2 linked regions of the Arabidopsis thaliana genome follow. The protein of the gene in region 1 interacts with the protein of each later gene in a pairwise test. Each region holds a gene or a part of one and is shown on either strand. Other genes may lie near its edges.

Region 1 (7,845 bases):
AATTTGATCTCGTTATTAGTTTCTTAGTTGATGAACTTGAAGGAAGGCTTGATCCTGAATTAGTTGAGCGCTTACTCTCTGTGGTAGACACATCTATCTTGCTTAGTTTTAATCAGAAGGTGAGATTGCTTCTCCTCCATGGGATACCTAAAGAAAAGATCTCTCATGTATTGAACAAAGTGTACCTAAATAAATTGCTGTATCAGAAATCAGTTGAAGATATTGAGAGATTGATTAGTTTCTTGGAACCTTTTGGTGGAATTGGTATAATTGCTAGGCGGCCAGTGATTCTCAATAGTGACTTGGATAGTCAGTTGATTCCTAGGGTTGATTTCATTAGGAATCTAAGCGGGGAAGACGATTTCGCTACTGGAACGGTGCTACGTAGACTTCCTGCCATATTGAGTTATAGTGTTGAGCATATGAACGGCCAAGTAGAGTTTCTCAAGTCTTTTGCTGGCTTGACGAGTGAGCAAGTGTTTAAGATTGTTCATGTGTTCCCTAATGTTATCAGCACTAGTAAAGAGAGGAAACTGCGCCCGAGGATAGAGTTTCTGAAGGAATGCGGCTTTGATTCCCCCGGCATGTTCAAATTCTTGAGTAAAGCACCATTGATTTTAGCTCTATCCGAAAATAATCTCTCGCACAAACTCGGTTTTCTGGTGAAGATTGGATATAAGCATAGAACAAAGGAACTGGCCTTTGCGATGGGAGCTGTGACCAGAACAAGCTCTGACAATATGCAGAGGGTTATTGGACTGTACTTGAGTTATGGTCTTTCATTCGAAGACATTCTAGCAATGAGCACAAAACATCCTCAAGTCCTGCAGTATAATTATACTTCTTTAGAGGAAAAACTGGAGTATTTGATCGAGTACATGGGTCGTGAAGTCGAAGAACTTCTTGCATTCCCTGCATTTCTTGGATACAAGCTTGATAGCAGGATCAAGCATCGGTATGAAGAAAAGTTGAAGAGCAGAGGTGAGAACATGTCTCTTAACAAGCTTTTGACAGTATCAGCTGAAAGATTCTCTAAGGCGGCTGATAATATCGAAATGATTTGTTTATGACCAAGTTTGAGTTCATTGAGAACTTACATCAATAGTTTTTATCACAAATTCTCACTTCGATATCAACAGTAATACTCTAACTGTCTTGATTTTATAGAGTTAAGCTTTTCATTATGTAAAACACTTACAAACTAAGTAGAGAACATGTCGGTCAGAAAAACGAGAATATTGCAAAACTGGAGCACTAAAAAGGATCCGAGTAGGGACTATTCAAAGCAAACTCTACCCTGCCTGGATTTTATTTGGAGCAAATAATATAAGTTTGGGCTTTTCGTAAATATAAGTTAAGTGGGCGTTGGCCCGTATATCGCCAAATCGAGTTATGTCATGTGCTCCGTAAAAGTCCCACATCGCTTGCCTAGAAACTTAACTTCTTGAATATATAAGACTGTGAGAGCGTTGATGGTCACGACCTTACTTGAACAGGATCTGTTCTATAGGCTCGTACCTCTGTTTCCTTGATTTCTCAAGAGACAGGCCTTTTACCCTGGTTGATGAACCATGACCGTGCGGCTAGAGCGTGATTGACGGCCACGATCGTCTTCGGACGCATCCGGTGCTGTAGAGGATCGTTACTCGGCTCGGTTCTACCTTGCCGGGGTGGTCGCACGGCGGTCTGACAGGTCCCTTTCCTTCTTTTTTTTTTTTTCCTTTCTCCGGTTTTTTTTGCTCTGTTTTGAGGTCTATTGAACACTCGCTAAATTAAAAATAAAAACATATATGATTGTAGGTGATATTAGAGTCTCTTTATTTCTAATCTTTTTGTTATAAAGCTGTATGACTCTGCTTCTCCTTGTAGTTTACAATCTCTGTTTCATGTTCTTTGACAAAAAAAACTTGAAAAGTGGAATTATTTGTTTCATTACAGATAGAATCAGCCAAAACACAACTACTAAATCAAAGTTGTTACAGGCTTTATTAATGTCTCCTTTTTTGTTTGTTTCTCATCTTAAGCCAAACCAAAGGTTGAAACACCGAGGAAAAATCTCATATCAAATTTTAGGCCAAGCCTACGAGCTTCTCGCTGACTTCCCAAACTCTACGAGCCTTCTCGACATCGCTAGCTTCTTGAGACAGCTGATTCTCAAATGAAGCCGAGGTCTTGTTCCAGCTCCAATACACTCCCGACTTCGTCAAGCTTGGATCAGCCACCACCTTCAACAAATCAATACATAGGTTGAGTACATAGCAAGAATAATAAACTGAAAGAATGGTTTCTTGCGTCACAAACAACGTTAGGTTTTGGTTAATTTTCTAACCTGAGCAAGTCTTTTCCCAGCCTCTGACTCGGAGACGTAACCTTTTGTGATGTACTTCTGGAAAGGAGGGAAGAGGGTACGGAAAAGAGGAATATGCTCTCTGAACAAACCAGTCGTTGCAATACAACCGGGGTAAAGGGAAGCAAAAGTTATGCCGGTGTCTTCATGGAAACGCCTATGAAACTCCTGCATTGTCAACATGTTGCAGACTTTGCTATCTTTATACGCCTTTGCGCCAACAAAATCTCCTCCATCTATCATCGCCGAGCTGTTTAGCCCGTTCAACCCGCCTGCTAGTCCCCTCAAATCACCAAGATTAGCCTTTGGAGGTACATTACCAGCCAATGTATTAGTGTTTCCTGCTCAATAAGAAACAAAACGAATAAGATTTCAGATTTAGGGTTTAGAGTAAGTAGTAAGTACATAAAGCATTCTTCTTATGAGGAGACTACAGACCGGTTATGGATCCAACAATGATGAGACGTTTTGATGGATAATCGGAGTTCTTCAAGTCATCAATCAACAATCTTGAAAGAAGAAAGTGGCCCAAATGGTTTATCCCAACGCTAAGCTCAAACCCTTCAGCAGTGAAAGTAGGTTGATTAGCCGTTGGCTGATAGACTGCGGCATTGCAGACCAACACATCGAGAGGCATCTCAGCTCGCCTGAAGTTATCAACAAACTGCCTCACGCTGTCCAAAGACGCCAAGTCCAAATGCATCACAGTGTAGCTGTCCTTAGGCATCCCTGCAGATTGAGCGGCTCTCTCAGCCTTGAGGAAGTCTCTGCACGCCATTATCACGTGCCATTTACCTGTCTCGGCTAATGCCTTTGCCGTTGCTAAACCTAGCCCTGAAGAAGCTCCCGTGACAACCACGTTTCCTTTTCTAAGTGTTTTCTTGCGGTCTAAGGAAGATTTTGTGACTGATGGAGTTGAAGTCGCGATTGCTTGAGCTCGAATAATCGCTTTATTATTCCTCAAGCTCTGTTCCCTCTACAAAGTAGAAGCATTTCAATTGATTAGATTATTACATCATTTTCCAAGAAAAATACTCATAAAAGATTGTGTTTGGTACCTTGCATCTCAATGAGGAAGAGACAAAGTCAGCTTTGCTTTGCTCCGAAAGTGAAACACCGAACAGACTAGACTCTTTGAATGATGATGATGCTGAAGCATTTAATTTTCCCTGCAACCAAAACATGCGAATTAATCTCCGAGACAGGTCATAAACAAAAAGGAAACGATTACTAAAACAAAGAAAGAGATAATAAAATACATCTTTGCGGACAGAGAAAGCAGAGGAGACCAAAGAAGCAGCTTGAAGGGCCATTGTTTCGTTTAAGACTTAAAGAGTGTAATGTGAATGTTATGCAAATGTCTGTGCTTGCGTGAGTTTATATAGAAGTTGAGACAAGAGAAAGGTGGTCCCCTCCCATATGTGTTTCCTAGGATATGTGTGGATAAGATTATCTTTAGGGAAAGTTTTTGTCAGTTTCTTTTCTTAAAGCCAATGATAATTCGAGAATTAGATTTTCTGTCAGTAGATATTTTAATGTATAATTTCATGGGACTCCATCTCTTTGTGTATGGGAGGATTAACAGAGAGCTAGAGCCCTAGAGGTATGAAACAAAATTATACTCTGACTTGTTATGGACACTCTGATCTAAAGATAAAACTGTTCATTGAAATGATGAATTGACAAAAATACCCAATTATTTTACATGTAAAGATAAACCTAAAGACAATTACAAAATGTGTATACAAAAGTTTACCATATATTCTCTCCTTGAAGAGTTATAATATCAGAGACAAATTCTACAAACTTCAAGTTGAATAGCACAGACTTTCATCGAAGCAAACTATATTGGTATATGAAGTTTCTTTTTCTGCCTATTTGAATCTTTCTTAAAAATAACATTATATATATTTGCTAGAGATTTGAATTTTAGAGATAACAAATCAGATAAATAAAAGAAGCGTGGTAAAAAAAAAAAACGAGAGAAGTCAGTGGATGAACCAAACCTTCTCTCAATCTATACACTTTTGACAGGAGATGGTTTTACTAAGGGAAAATTTCACTTTGCCTTAGGATTTTGATATTGTAAAACCTTCTCCTTGCATCATAGACGAACTGGAAATCCAAAATTCTGAAATATTCTGATTTCGCCTCGTAGACTGCCAGTCACAATCACCATAGACCACGCCGAGGCACTCGGTTTTGTGTTAACCTGTATGTTAGACATGTCCACGCTCACACGAGGGCTTGTTCTGGCTCGGTTTTTTGCAGCCAGCAAGAGTTTTTCTTCAGGCCATGTTGCTGAGACTCTATCGAAGAAGTATCGGTTTGTGGCGCTTGAAATGATACCGTTGGTGACGGTTTTGTTGTTGGTTGGATCGTTGACAGGTGTCGGAGGGTTATTATTGGCTGTGAAGGATGACTGTTCGGGGCTGTTGTTAGTGTGGTTGTTACTGATTTTGCCAGGCCAAGGTGCAGCCACAGAGACGTCACGACAATAAAAGTTTTCGTATGAGTTTGTGACTGTGACACGTTTGCTTCTTCCTGCTCGAGAGTCTGAGTCGTAGTTCCATACATACACATTAGAGTCTTCGCTTGCTGATACTAGGAATTTCCCGTTTGATGTAAGTGAAGCCGAGATTTGGCTATTCGTGTTGCGAAATCCTGCGAACCCGAAAATTTTCTAAAACTCAGAAAAACACACATTACTTGGCAAGAACGTTGAGCTTATTTTACTCCAACACCAGATCAAGAAAAAGCGAAAGAACATCATGTTCATGAAATGTGGGACTCATGTGTATCTTAGATGACGATAGAGCGAGAAATTCACCTCCATGAACAATAAAGTTATTCCTAACTCCCGAGTTCTAAGAATGGAGAAGAGAGTTTTAAGCTTAGTATTGTTTACCTTTAAACTTGTGAACAAGGTCAACACCATCAACAACACGCGTACGTGAATCTGCAGATGTGACGAGAACTTCCGATGAACTTCCTGCCACAAACTGTGAAAGTTTCACGAGAATAGTCAGATAAACCAGTACAGCATCCAAAACAAAATTGTAGTATAAATGAAAAGATGAGAACAGAACGGTGTAAGTTGTTTTAGCTTTACCTGAAAACCAGTGATTTTCTTGTGATGGGTTTTCTTTTTCCTGTTCTTCAGATTGATTTCGCGTCTCTGCTGCAGTTTGTTATCTGAATAAACAAAAAAGATAATAAGTTCAAAAGACGAGATGGAGAAACAACTCAAGTTTCAGATGAGTAAGTTCTCAGCTTATGTACCATGTGTGTTGTATAAGCAGCATGTTCCTTTGTATGAACCAACCAATGCACCCTTTACAAACCAAGAGAGCTTTATTAAGGTACTGCGTGATTTAGTTTTACCCAAAGTCACTTCAATGTAAGAAAAACTTTTAATGGCATACCTGTCCATCCGGTGTGTAGCAAGCAGCTGTGACCATCTCATGAAGATCATTCCAATCAACAACTTGATGATCAGGAATACTCCATATCCGAACTTTTGCATCCAATGATCCGCTGATGAAGTAATTGTCATCCACGGGATTAAACTGGATGCAAGTCACTGTATCGAGGAAACAGAAAACTAGATGAGAGAAAATTTTATGTTACATAACCAACATAGAAATTCTTGTGTTTCAGGGATTTATTTACAAGTGGAAGAAGCTTGATTCATACCACATTATATTGACATATGAATCTTTCCAGAACAGAGTTGACACCTAAAATGACTTAATATTCTTCTAACAATATATGCTTAGTTTCATAAAGACTAAGAAGAAAAGTAAATCATGATCACTGGTGGGGAATAGGATGGTATATCCACTCACCGTAGTCACTATGTGAGAAGACTTTCAAACATGTCTTGCTAGATAAGTCCCATAGACGAACAGTCTTATCCATGGAAGAGGAAAGCAGGTGCTGGAAACAAAAAAATGAAGTGCAAAGTCTTGAGAATTCAAGATTTTATCTGATTAAGAAAGACGAAGCAGATTCTCACATAACAAACTTAGAAAACCTAAACTTAGCACTAGTAAGATGAGCAAGGTTCGCATGAAAATTTTTGCTCCACAAAATAAAGTTACCAGTTTGAAAACAAACTTCATGCTTTAAATAAGAATTTGTAGCGAAATGAGATGATCGGGAACTCGTACCCACCTGAGATTTTGACCACGAAAGATCAAGTACGTCATCCAAATGCCCTACAAATGAACACACGGGTTTCTCTGAAAGACCAAAGACTGCCTCTGGAACAAGAACATTGTCCAAGCTCACTGATTTTCGGCTAAAAGATGTTCTTCCTCTTCTCTTTGGAGACATTGAAACGGGTTCGGGTGATCCATTTGCTAAAAGAAACAAATTTATACTTCCATCTTCTTGTTTATCCATCGACAAGAGTTCCCCTTTTCTTTCTGACTCAACAACCTTCCAAATCTGAATAACACAATCCTCACCAGCACTAGCAAGATACCTCCCATCCAAACTAAACTTAATACTCCATATCGATCCTTTATGAGCTTGAATCTCTTGACTCTTGAAAAGTGCAGTAAGCTCTTTACACGACTTCCCATACTGCCTAACCTTAACTCTCTCAGGGTCATGAAAAGACATATCTCGACTATCATCAGTTGCAGAGCTAAACCTCTGACCACCTCTCTCAGACGGTGAATCCCTATCATCGGTGCTCCGTCGCTCTTTATACCCAGTCACACTACTAGCAACATTCTTAATACTCTTTAACCAACTCCCTCTCCTTCTATGTTTAGTCACCCTGCTTCCACTAACATTAGTATCCAAATCCACAGAGTCTTTACAAACATCTTCAACATTTTGCCTCCTCATCAACTCAAGCACAATCGGTGACGTACCAACACAAATCTCAAACTCCTCCAGAGTCAATTGCCGATCAGTACCTACTTCCTTCAACCTCTCCAACATCCCATCTTCTCGAACTTCATTCACCACAAACTCTCTCCCAGTATCTAAATTCCTAATAGTACACATTTGCTCCTCTAAAACAACATCTCTACCATTCTCTTTCTCTACAATGTCCCTAAGAGATCTTTCCATTGGCTCTTTGCTTATAAAATCAACACCATCGTTTCGCATACGAGATCCAGTATACTCTCGATCGACATTGTCAGTACCTGATACATCTGATCTCAACACACATTTACCATGATGATTCGAAGTCAAAACATCAGAAGGAACCGATCTAGAGAAATGAGAACTGTTTCTCCGACTTCTAGAACGTAACTGACTCGCCGGAGGTAGATCCGGCTCATTACTAAGTCCCAAACCACGCAATAACCTGATTCGTCTCTCCGACACAGATTCAGGCTCAGATTTCCACAGCTCGAACCCAGAGGTAAACATAGGAACAGGAAACGGAGTCGGATCGTGGATCGAATCGGAAACATTCGGGTCAGAGTCGTAATCAGAGTTTGAAGTTGAACAAGAGCAAGACGATAGTACACGAT
Region 2 (9,344 bases), on another chromosome or scaffold:
TGAGCAATACCCCGAATCCATACGAGCAAGCAATTACTATCATTGGAAGAACCTTAGCCGCCTTTGACGAGGATAACTTAATTCCTTGTTATGGTTTTGGAGACGGTATGCACTGTTTTCTCTCTTCTCGATTCTCATAAGAATGTATATCAATCGGATCATCATTGACTTGCTTTCATCTCTTTGCAGCATCAACTCATGATCAAGACGTGTTTAGTTTCTATCCAGAGGGAAGATTCTGTAATGGATTTGAGGAAGTATTGGCTCGTTATAGAGAAATTGTACCTCAGCTTAAGCTCGCAGGTTTATTTCCTGCTCTGACCTGCACTGGCCAATTCTATATCTCCTTGTGAAACGCAAGTTATAAACTTAAAACTGTGTTTTTTTTTCCTGCGAACTTATGTATTTCAGGACCAACTTCTTTTGCCCCGATCATTGAAATGGCAATGACAGTGGTTGAGCAGAGTAGTGGCCAATATCATGTGTTAGTGATTATAGCTGATGGCCAGGTACTGATTAATATTTTGACTGCCTAAGCTGTGTATGATCTTCTGGTTTTGTGTCTAGGGATATCAAAGTGGACCCATTTTGTTGTTTCAGGTCACAAGAAGTGTCGATACCGAACACGGGCGGCTAAGTCCGCAAGAACAGAAGACAGTAGATGCAATTGTGAAAGCAAGGTGCGAATATTTCAATCTTTTGACTAATGTTTCTTCCATTTTAAAGTTCTTTACTTTGAGTGTAATGTTATAAAGTGTTATGGTATGTAATCAGTTTCATCCTCTCTATTACAGTACCCTTCCTTTGTCAATAGTCTTAGTTGGGGTCGGGGATGGACCATGGGACATGATGCAGGAATTTGATGATAACATACCTGCCCGAGCTTTCGATAACTTCCAGGTAAGCTTCTTTTTTTCATATCATGACATTGAAGATTGCTTCTTTTCTTCAGTTTGGAACCATTTTTCTAACATGTTTGCTCTGTTTCTAGTTTGTGAACTTCACAGAGATCATGTCAAAGAACAAAGACCAGTCTCGGAAGGAGACAGAGTTTGCGCTGTCTGCTCTCATGGAGATCCCTCCACAGTACAAAGCAACGATAGAGCTTAACCTTTTAGGGTAAGGGACCCAAATCAAAACTCTGATAGGTGTAGCTGCGAGAAACTGCTATATTGTTAAACAAAATGCTCACCTTTCTCTTTCCCTTACATTTTTGCAGGGTAAGAAATGGAAATATCCCACAGAGAATCCCACTTCCGCCACCGGTGCAGAGTGGATCATCATTCTCTAGTTCCCGGATACCGAATTTTGAACCGAGTGTACCTCCTTATCCATTTGAGAGCAAGCAAATGAGTAGTGCAGACGATATTCAGGTAATTAGTAGAAACTTAGGAATCTGTTTGAAATGTTAAGTGAAATAAGAGCTTTGGAACTTTTTGTTGTTAAACTCGTTTGTGTTATTTTCCCCTTGAACAGCTATGTCCGATATGTCTGAGCAACCCGAAAAACATGGCGTTTGGTTGTGGCCATCAGACTTGTTGTGAATGCGGACCAGATCTTAAAGTGTGTCCTATTTGTCGTGCGCCGATCCAGACCAGAATCAAGCTTTACTAACAACACCATTGACATGCAGCTTTGACCAGCCCAAATCCCATTTCTTCCAGAGATTTTCAGATCTTTCTGTAGAAAATTAAAGTGTTCTTTTGTTCTTTGATTGAATTCCTAAACTTTATCTTGTTCATAAAATTTCTTTGATTGGATTGTAAGAATTATGTATTTGTCTGTTGGCTTTCTTTGATTTTTCAAGATTCGATTAAACCAAAGTTGATTGCTTAAACACTTTAATTTTGATTTGTTTTGTCGACATAAGCAATGAGAAATAAATGGATGAATAGCCCAATAGAAGCCCATTAGCCTGAAATTGGGCTACAAGCAAACATACCAAATAAATAGTAGGGAAGAGCAGAAATAATCACACCACTCATCAGTTATCCATTCCTTTCTTTTTACATAAATTTTGTCACTTTTTCTACAAACGATTCTTCGCTTCTGTGAAATTTGATAAAGCGAAAGTTTTTTTCTTATGGATTCTCTTCGATTCAACCTCCAACAATCTCCATTTCAATTGAAACCTAGAATTCTCCGACCAAGAATCACCAACATATCAAACCGAATCGATGAAACCGATCCTCGACCATCATCCTCGGCCGGTAGGATCCAAAGGTTAGTACTTAACAACGAAGGTCGGACCAAACTAAACGCCGATCCTGACCGTGAATTCTATTCATATCCACGGTTCGTGAACCACGTAGATGATAGTTTCATATCCTCCTTAACCGAACTATACAGAAACCGGTTGAGACCCGGTTCGACTGTACTTGACTTGATGAGCTCATGGGTCAGCCATCTTCCAGAAGAAGTGAAGTACGAGAAAGTAGTAGGGCATGGTCTTAACGCACAGGAGCTTGCTCGTAACCCTAGACTCGATTACTTCTTCGTCAAGGATCTTAATGAAGATCAGAAGTTCGAGTTCGAAGACAAGTATTTCGACGCTGTTTTGTGTTCTGTTGGTGTACAGTATCTACAACAACCCGAAAAGGTACGTTACCGTAAACCAAAACCGATTTCGGTTATGTCAAGAAGATTCCTAAACCGGGTCTTTATTATATAAACCGCAGGTGTTTGCAGAAGTGTATAGAGTGTTGAAACCGGGAGGAGTGTTGATAGTGAGTTTTAGCAACCGGATGTTTTATGAGAAAGCAATTAGGGTTTGGCGTGATGGAACCGAATACAGTCGGATCCAATTGGTGGTTCAGTACTTTCAGTCTATTGAAGGGTTTACTCAGCCGGAGATCATCCGGCAACAGCCTGGAGCTCAGATATCGGTTTTGACTCGGCTTATGGGTTTTATCGGTTTAGCTTCTACGCCCGATCCTTTTAATGCTGTCATTGCTTATAAAAATTTCAAACCTATTTATGAGTAACACGCACATAAAAAAAAGTGTATAAGAATTGGATGGGAAGTTTTTGAAGAAAAGGAAAAAACCTCTCAACCAAGTCCAGCTGGAGAAACTTACAATACAAATTTTTAAAAAGTGGAGAATGAAATTACAGATTTCAATCAAATTGGAAGAACCTGTATTACACAAGAAATAATTGACAGAAAGATTACACACTTTGGAAAATATAATTAATATATAGTTTTCAATTAGCATGCATTGTATGTGATTCGTTTTGTTCGAAGATTCATGGACAATATCCAAGCAAGGTAGCCTTGTCCCTCTTCAAACGAGTATCACGAGTTGCTTACTTTATGGTTTAGATTCTATAATAACAGTATATATATTAGAAGGAAGTCTTTTATATTAAAACAAAAATCCATTGTATATGTACACTATCTATGTTCCATGCATGTGTCTTCTTAAATAGCTATGAAGTCCCTTATTTTACTATGTACATACTAAATTTAGTTATGTTTATCAGGATAACTCGTTGTACCATCAGTATATAAACTTTGAAATATTAAATGTTTCTCACTACTAGTATTAGACTGTTGCAGTTGCGTTAGAGACGTTTCATATTTAGAAATAATATTATCCAAGACCTGAAATTCTTATTATTATGAAAATTATGAAATATCGATAAGGGAAAAACTGTATGGAAGTGTAAAAGACACCAAAACAGATATTGAACCAAAGGTGAAGCAAAGAAGTTGATTCAAAGTTGCCACTTTATTTAACCTTTTGCACCAGTATATATACACACACATGGATACTAACCCAATCATTCATCACAACACATCAGATCCTTCACCATATATTTCTCTCAACCTCGCCAATATGGCCCAACGCTTTCAATTGAACTCACAAACCCTCCCAACGGCCGACCCTCTCAAAAGGGTCTCCCTTATTCCAAGATCCGCCGAGCAGAGGCTGGCTGATAACGCAGGCGAGAGGCGTCCTTTAGCACCGAGATCTCACGAAGACAACCCCTTTGGGGGTCATACTGATGATCACCATGTTGCTGCTCCTGCGGACCATAATAAGGTGATGGATCATAATAGCGAGAATCTCGGTTCCATTGTCCCTAAGACTGCACATTACCCTCATCCATCTGAGGAAATCCTTGATGCTAATATCCGACATTCGATGGTTCCGAAATCATTGGGTCCCAATTCGCTCGGTGGAAGATTTGGTCCGGGAAAGAAACAAGCTTTCCATAGAAATGGCAGACCCATGTTTTCACTTTCTGATGACCGAGTCATGGCTGATAGAGTCTTGAAGACTCACAGTCCAGACATGATCTTCTTTGATGTCACATCACTTCTCTCCGTTGTTAATGACATCTTCAAGTCTCATGTCCCATCCATTGACTCCTCTGCTCCTAAGGTTTAGTTTACTTGTGCAACAATTAATCCCCATTTCAAATACTGATTTTTACAAGCGTATTAAATTTAAAACTTTTTGCAGCCATCACTCGTCTTCAAGGACTACGCTGATCATACCTCCTTTGAAACTTTTGCGGATCTCATTGATCAAATCTCTTGCGAGGTATATATGAAGCTTTCTTGTTTTAAGTAACGTTTGAGTCAGTATCTAAGTATCAATGTCTCTGACACAGATCGACTGCAAGTGTCTCCATGGCGGTGAGTCTCACGGTATGATGACATCAGGGCTTCATTTGGATAGTCGCAACACGACGACGTTCTCTGTTCTGTCTTTGGTCTCCAAATACCGTTGGGATGCTAAGCTAGTCCTTGTCCTATCTGCTTTGGCCGTGAAATACGGCGTTTTTCTCCTCCTCGCGGAGACACACGCAACAAATCAGCTCACAAAATCTCTGGCTCTCATCAAACAGCTCCCTAGCATCTTCTCCCGGCAGAACGCTCTACACCAGCGTCTCGACAAGACCCGAATTCTGATGCAAGACATGGTTGATCTCACCACTACCATCATCGATATCTATCAACTCCCGCCAAACCACATCACAGCCGCGTTTACCGACCATATCCCCACTGCGGTTTACTGGATTGTTCGCTGTGTTTTGATATGTGTTTCTCACATCAGTGGCGCCAGTGGTTTCAAGCAGGAGTAAGTTGTTTTTCTTTCTGATTTCTAGGGTTTCAAGTAGGAGTAAGTTGAGTATGTGCTTCTCATCTATGTTTTCAGTCAAATCATGTCGTTTATGGAAGTTTCGGAGATACATGAGAATAGCGAAAGGCTTAGGAAGATCAATGCTTACTTGTTAGAACAATTCAAGAAGAGTAAAATGACCATCGGTAACTACGACGTCGTTTTAAGCTCTCTCTCTGTTTCTATATATTTAAGAGTATTTTTATTCCTCTGTTCTCAAGCTCTGTTTTTTTTACTCTGTTACAGAGGAAGGTATAATCGAAGAAGAGTATCAAGAACTCATCCAGACGTTCACTACTATCATTCACGTCGACGTTGTTCCTCCTCTACTTCGTCTTCTCAGACCCATTGATTTTCTTTACCACGGAGCTGGTGTTTCAAAGAGACGCGTAAAACCTCCTTATATCTCTGCATCTGTATATGTCTCTTGTCAGTGACTGATCTGTTTTCAAACATTAACCAGGTCGGGATCAACGTGCTCACCCAAAAGCACGTTCTGCTTCTGATATCAGACCTAGAAAACATCGAAAAAGAGCTCTACATCCTGGAATCGCTCTACACAGAAGCATGGCAGCAGTCATTCGAGATTCTTTGGGTTCCAGTTCAAGATTTCTGGACAGAAGCTGACGATGCCAAGTTCGAGGCCCTTCACATGAACATGAGGTGGTACGTTCTTGGAGAGCCTCGGAAATTAAGACGAGCCGCGATAAGGTTTGTGAGGGAATGGTGGGGTTTCAAGAACAGGCCTATACTCGTTGCACTTGATCCCAAAGGTCAAGTTATGTCAACCAACGCCTTTCCTATGGTCTGGATCTGGCAACCCTTTGCTCACCCTTTTACCACCGCAAGGGAACGTGATCTATGGAGCGAACAGGAGTGGAATCTTGAGTTCTTGATTGATGGCACTGATCCTCATTCCTTAAACCAGGTTTCTTGATTGAATAAAAAAACAGAGTACTAATAAATTTTTCTTTCTCTTGTGTTACACGTAACCTGAAAATCTGTGTGTGTTTCAAATGTTTTTTATCAGCTTGTTGATGGAAAATACATATGTCTCTACGGAGGAGAAGATATGCAATGGATCAAAAACTTCACGAGTCTCTGGCGTAATGTAGCGAAGGCCGCAAACATTCAACTTGAGATGGTTTATGTCGGGAAAAGAAACCCTAAGAATGGAATCCAGCCGATAATCAACACAATCCGGGAGGAAAATCTCAGCCATACTTTGCCGGACTTGTTCCAGATCTGGTTTTTCTGGACCAGGGTCGAGAGCATGTGGGAATCGAAGCAGAGGATGCTGAAAGCCCACGGAATCAAGGGGAGAGAAGGGTTTAAAGAAGAGGAAAAGGACCTTGTTCTGCAAGAAGTGGTTGCTATGTTAGGTTATGGAGGAGAAGGAGATGGATGGGGACTGGTGAGTAAAGCATCGGACATGATGGTTCGAGCCAAAGGGAACTTGTTTTCTAGGGGTTTGGCTGAATTTAACGAATGGGAAGTCAACATCCCCACAAAGGGTTTTCTTACAGCGCTCAATGATCATCTCTTAATGCGTCTCCCACCACATCACTGCACAAGGTTCATGCTTCCTGAGACTGCTGGAATTATACCTAATGAGGTTGAGTGCACCGAGTGCCGTAGGACTATGGAAAAGTATTACTTGTACCAATGCTGCCTTGAGTAAGATCCCATAATACTGGGGAACAAGTTGATTTGGAAGCCAACAACTTGTTCCTATAAAACCAAATAAGTTTGCGTCTTTTTTTTCCTCCTTGTTGTGAGTTTCTCTACTCTTCATGTTGTTGTTGTTGTTCTGCTCTACTAAAAGCAGAGAGTCTTTGTAATAAAATTTGTGTGTTTGAGATTTCGAAATAATAAAGGTTTATTTATCGGAAGCTTCTAGAACAATGAACTGATTGAACATTGCTTCTTTGTTGATTTCTTGATCCTTAAGCTCCTAGAACACTAGTGAACTAATACACAAGTAACACAAGTGACCGTGACATTTTTTTAATGTGACAGTAATATCTTTTGACATTTAGCCTTTTGAAATGAAATTACTTAATGCTAGTAAAATATAGGCAAAGTAAAAGGATGGATCAATCAATCAAAAGATGAACAGTCTTTTGAGTCCAAATCACATATCGTAATATATCTAATAGAAAGTTAAAAGTGTTAGTCTACATTATTGAAAAAATAAACCATGAGACTGATTGCTGTATTACAAAGGGGGAATACAACTTTAAACGACAAATCAGCGGTTCCTAGCCTGTAGTTAATGTAAAAGTTAAATCTTCCAAACCATCAAATACTTTTTAAATATTGCATATATCGGATTCGATTTCGAAGAAGCTCTTATACGTATTTCTAATGATGAGATATTAAAATTTGTTGCGTATAGAAACAACAAATTTAATCCTACCTATAAACGTTATGCTAAAGTTAATAGAAAAAAAAAAAAACATGCATAGAATAAACCCAAAGCATAACAATCTTATTTTTAGAAAAGTGATTGTCTTTAGATAAATATATCCTTGGTTACTCTTTTATTGCTTTTTTTAGCCTTATCCAAGATATATCATTGAGCTTAAGAAATTCTTTAGTTTTACCCAAAAGAGAGCAAAGAATCTTAACTTCACACCCTTTTGTTCACTTCACTCTTGATGCTATTTTCTGAGGCATGCATGAGATAAAATCAATGTAAAGTAACTTAAAGTAAATGACAGAAGCCATAAATTATAATATTCTATGGCATGAGGTGAAGTAACATAAGAATATAAGCAAAGTAGCAAACAAAATGTGTCTTATCTTTTAATGTCCTTTAGTAACATAAAAATGCGAGAATTAATTAGTAGTCCAGTGATCATCATTATGATGGAGAAAAGTGAGGAATTCGTCTCCAAACCTCCCAAGAAAATGACAAAAATCTGTATATTTTAGGATCTAAATTTCTAGTTGGCAATGAAGTTAATATCATTAGTAGCAATATTAAAATAGTGTAGTTTTTGATCCACTTTTAGTCTTATATGAATTTGAATTCAGTAATACACACATAAAGAAAGAGTACTAGCTCTAAAGATTTACGAGTAAAACTCGCAACATTTCAGTGAACCATTTTCTTCCCATTATGATTTAGTTCTTATTTACTATATATATTCGTGTAAAGTAGGCCTATACTTTATTGTGCTAACGATATTCACGTGGACGGGAACTATATATCTCATTAAAACTTCTATAATAAGCCACCAAAAAAAGAAAAGCAAAAAAGAAACAAGATTATATAATTGATATTCTTTGTATGTTTAATTTAATTGTTGCAGAAGCAAAGAAGTCGATTCTCAATTTCCAACCGTAACTAAGGGGGAGAAACGAGTATTTAAGGCTAACCTCACATAGCAAAACTACAAACCAATAAAGACAGCCTCTTCTTCTAACAAAAGCAAACTGAACCAAGAATGGAGTCGCTGATCAAGTCCCAGCACGCTCAGCAACTGGCGGGTCACAAGAATACGACCGGTAAAACTCCGTCCATGGAGATGATACCGGCGACGGGACTTGCGATGTCATCGGACGAAAGCATGATGCTGAAGCTGATTCAACAAACTCACTCCCCAGATGCTCGCGAAGTCCAAGTGCGTGGCCTTCTCTCTCTCGTTGAAGATATTCTCGATCGTGCCACTCTTGACTCTGAAGACACCAACGCCTCCGTTAGTATTCCTACACACAATCAATTTCGTTCTTAGTACGTACGTATGATCATGTTCCTTTACGTACTTGCTTTGATTTTTCAGATGCTTCCGTTGCCCACTGAGGATAAACTGATGCAGTCAAGCATGATGAGCGTTCTTGATAGTGTCTCCTATGCTATCGATCGTGTTGCCTGCGAGGTATAGCTACATTCACTTTTTGTTTGCCACAATTCAAGTGATTCTTTGTTTAGACTTTTTTGGCTCACCAAAATAACATCCAAGTTATTAGGTTTCGTTCGGGCTAAATTCGGTGTGTTTTGGTTCAGTTTCAGGATATTCAGTCTAAATATAAATATGTTGACCATCTTGGTTCGGTTAGGTTGCGCAGTTTCCACCTACCCCTAGATATCAATCTTTGTGGTTATAGATGCTCTTATAAACCACACTCTCTAAAGATTGTTGTACACGTAACCAGCAATAACTTGTTACAGAAGCAATACACTGTTTACGTGGTTCTCTCTCTGTT

Evidence for each region.
Region 2: the proteins of PORA (region 1) and SEOa interact in binary tests that used the Arabidopsis thaliana proteins (3 or more experiments, as listed by UniProt).

What each region holds. Positions count from the first base shown.
Region 1 is NC_003076.8:21,989,114-21,996,958, forward strand, and holds PORA (protochlorophyllide oxidoreductase A), read right to left. Parts: upstream 3,702-7,845; 5' UTR 3,661-3,701; coding exon 3,607-3,660; intron 3,517-3,606; coding exon 3,406-3,516; exon of another isoform or gene 3,324-3,405; coding exon 2,786-3,323; intron 2,689-2,785; coding exon 2,330-2,688; intron 2,226-2,329; coding exon 2,070-2,225; 3' UTR 1,751-2,069; downstream 1-1,750. Other genes in the region: PTAC15 (plastid transcriptionally active 15), read left to right, coding at 1-1,070; AT5G54200 (Transducin/WD40 repeat-like superfamily protein), read right to left, coding at 4,452-5,011, 5,256-5,349, 5,460-5,542, 5,630-5,681, 5,773-5,930, 6,196-6,286, 6,524-7,845. UniProt on the Arabidopsis thaliana protein: Phototransformation of protochlorophyllide (Pchlide) to chlorophyllide (Chlide). PORA may also function as a photoprotectant during the transitory stage from dark to light.
Region 2 is NC_003074.8:243,449-252,792, forward strand, and holds SEOa (sieve element occlusion protein), read left to right. Parts: upstream 1-3,743; 5' UTR 3,744-3,767; coding exon 3,768-4,388; intron 4,389-4,469; coding exon 4,470-4,550; intron 4,551-4,620; coding exon 4,621-5,090; intron 5,091-5,168; coding exon 5,169-5,278; intron 5,279-5,378; coding exon 5,379-5,521; intron 5,522-5,595; coding exon 5,596-6,060; intron 6,061-6,162; coding exon 6,163-6,813; 3' UTR 6,814-7,024; downstream 7,025-9,344. Other genes in the region: RGLG1 (RING domain ligase1), read left to right, coding at 1-105, 190-303, 412-509, 601-680, 795-900, 992-1,119, 1,220-1,373, 1,477-1,614; AT3G01660 (S-adenosyl-L-methionine-dependent methyltransferases superfamily protein), read left to right, coding at 2,084-2,599, 2,679-2,984; SEOR1 (sieve element occlusion amino-terminus protein), read left to right, coding at 8,585-8,836, 8,921-9,016. UniProt on the Arabidopsis thaliana protein: Scaffold protein required to form the phloem filament matrix in sieve elements.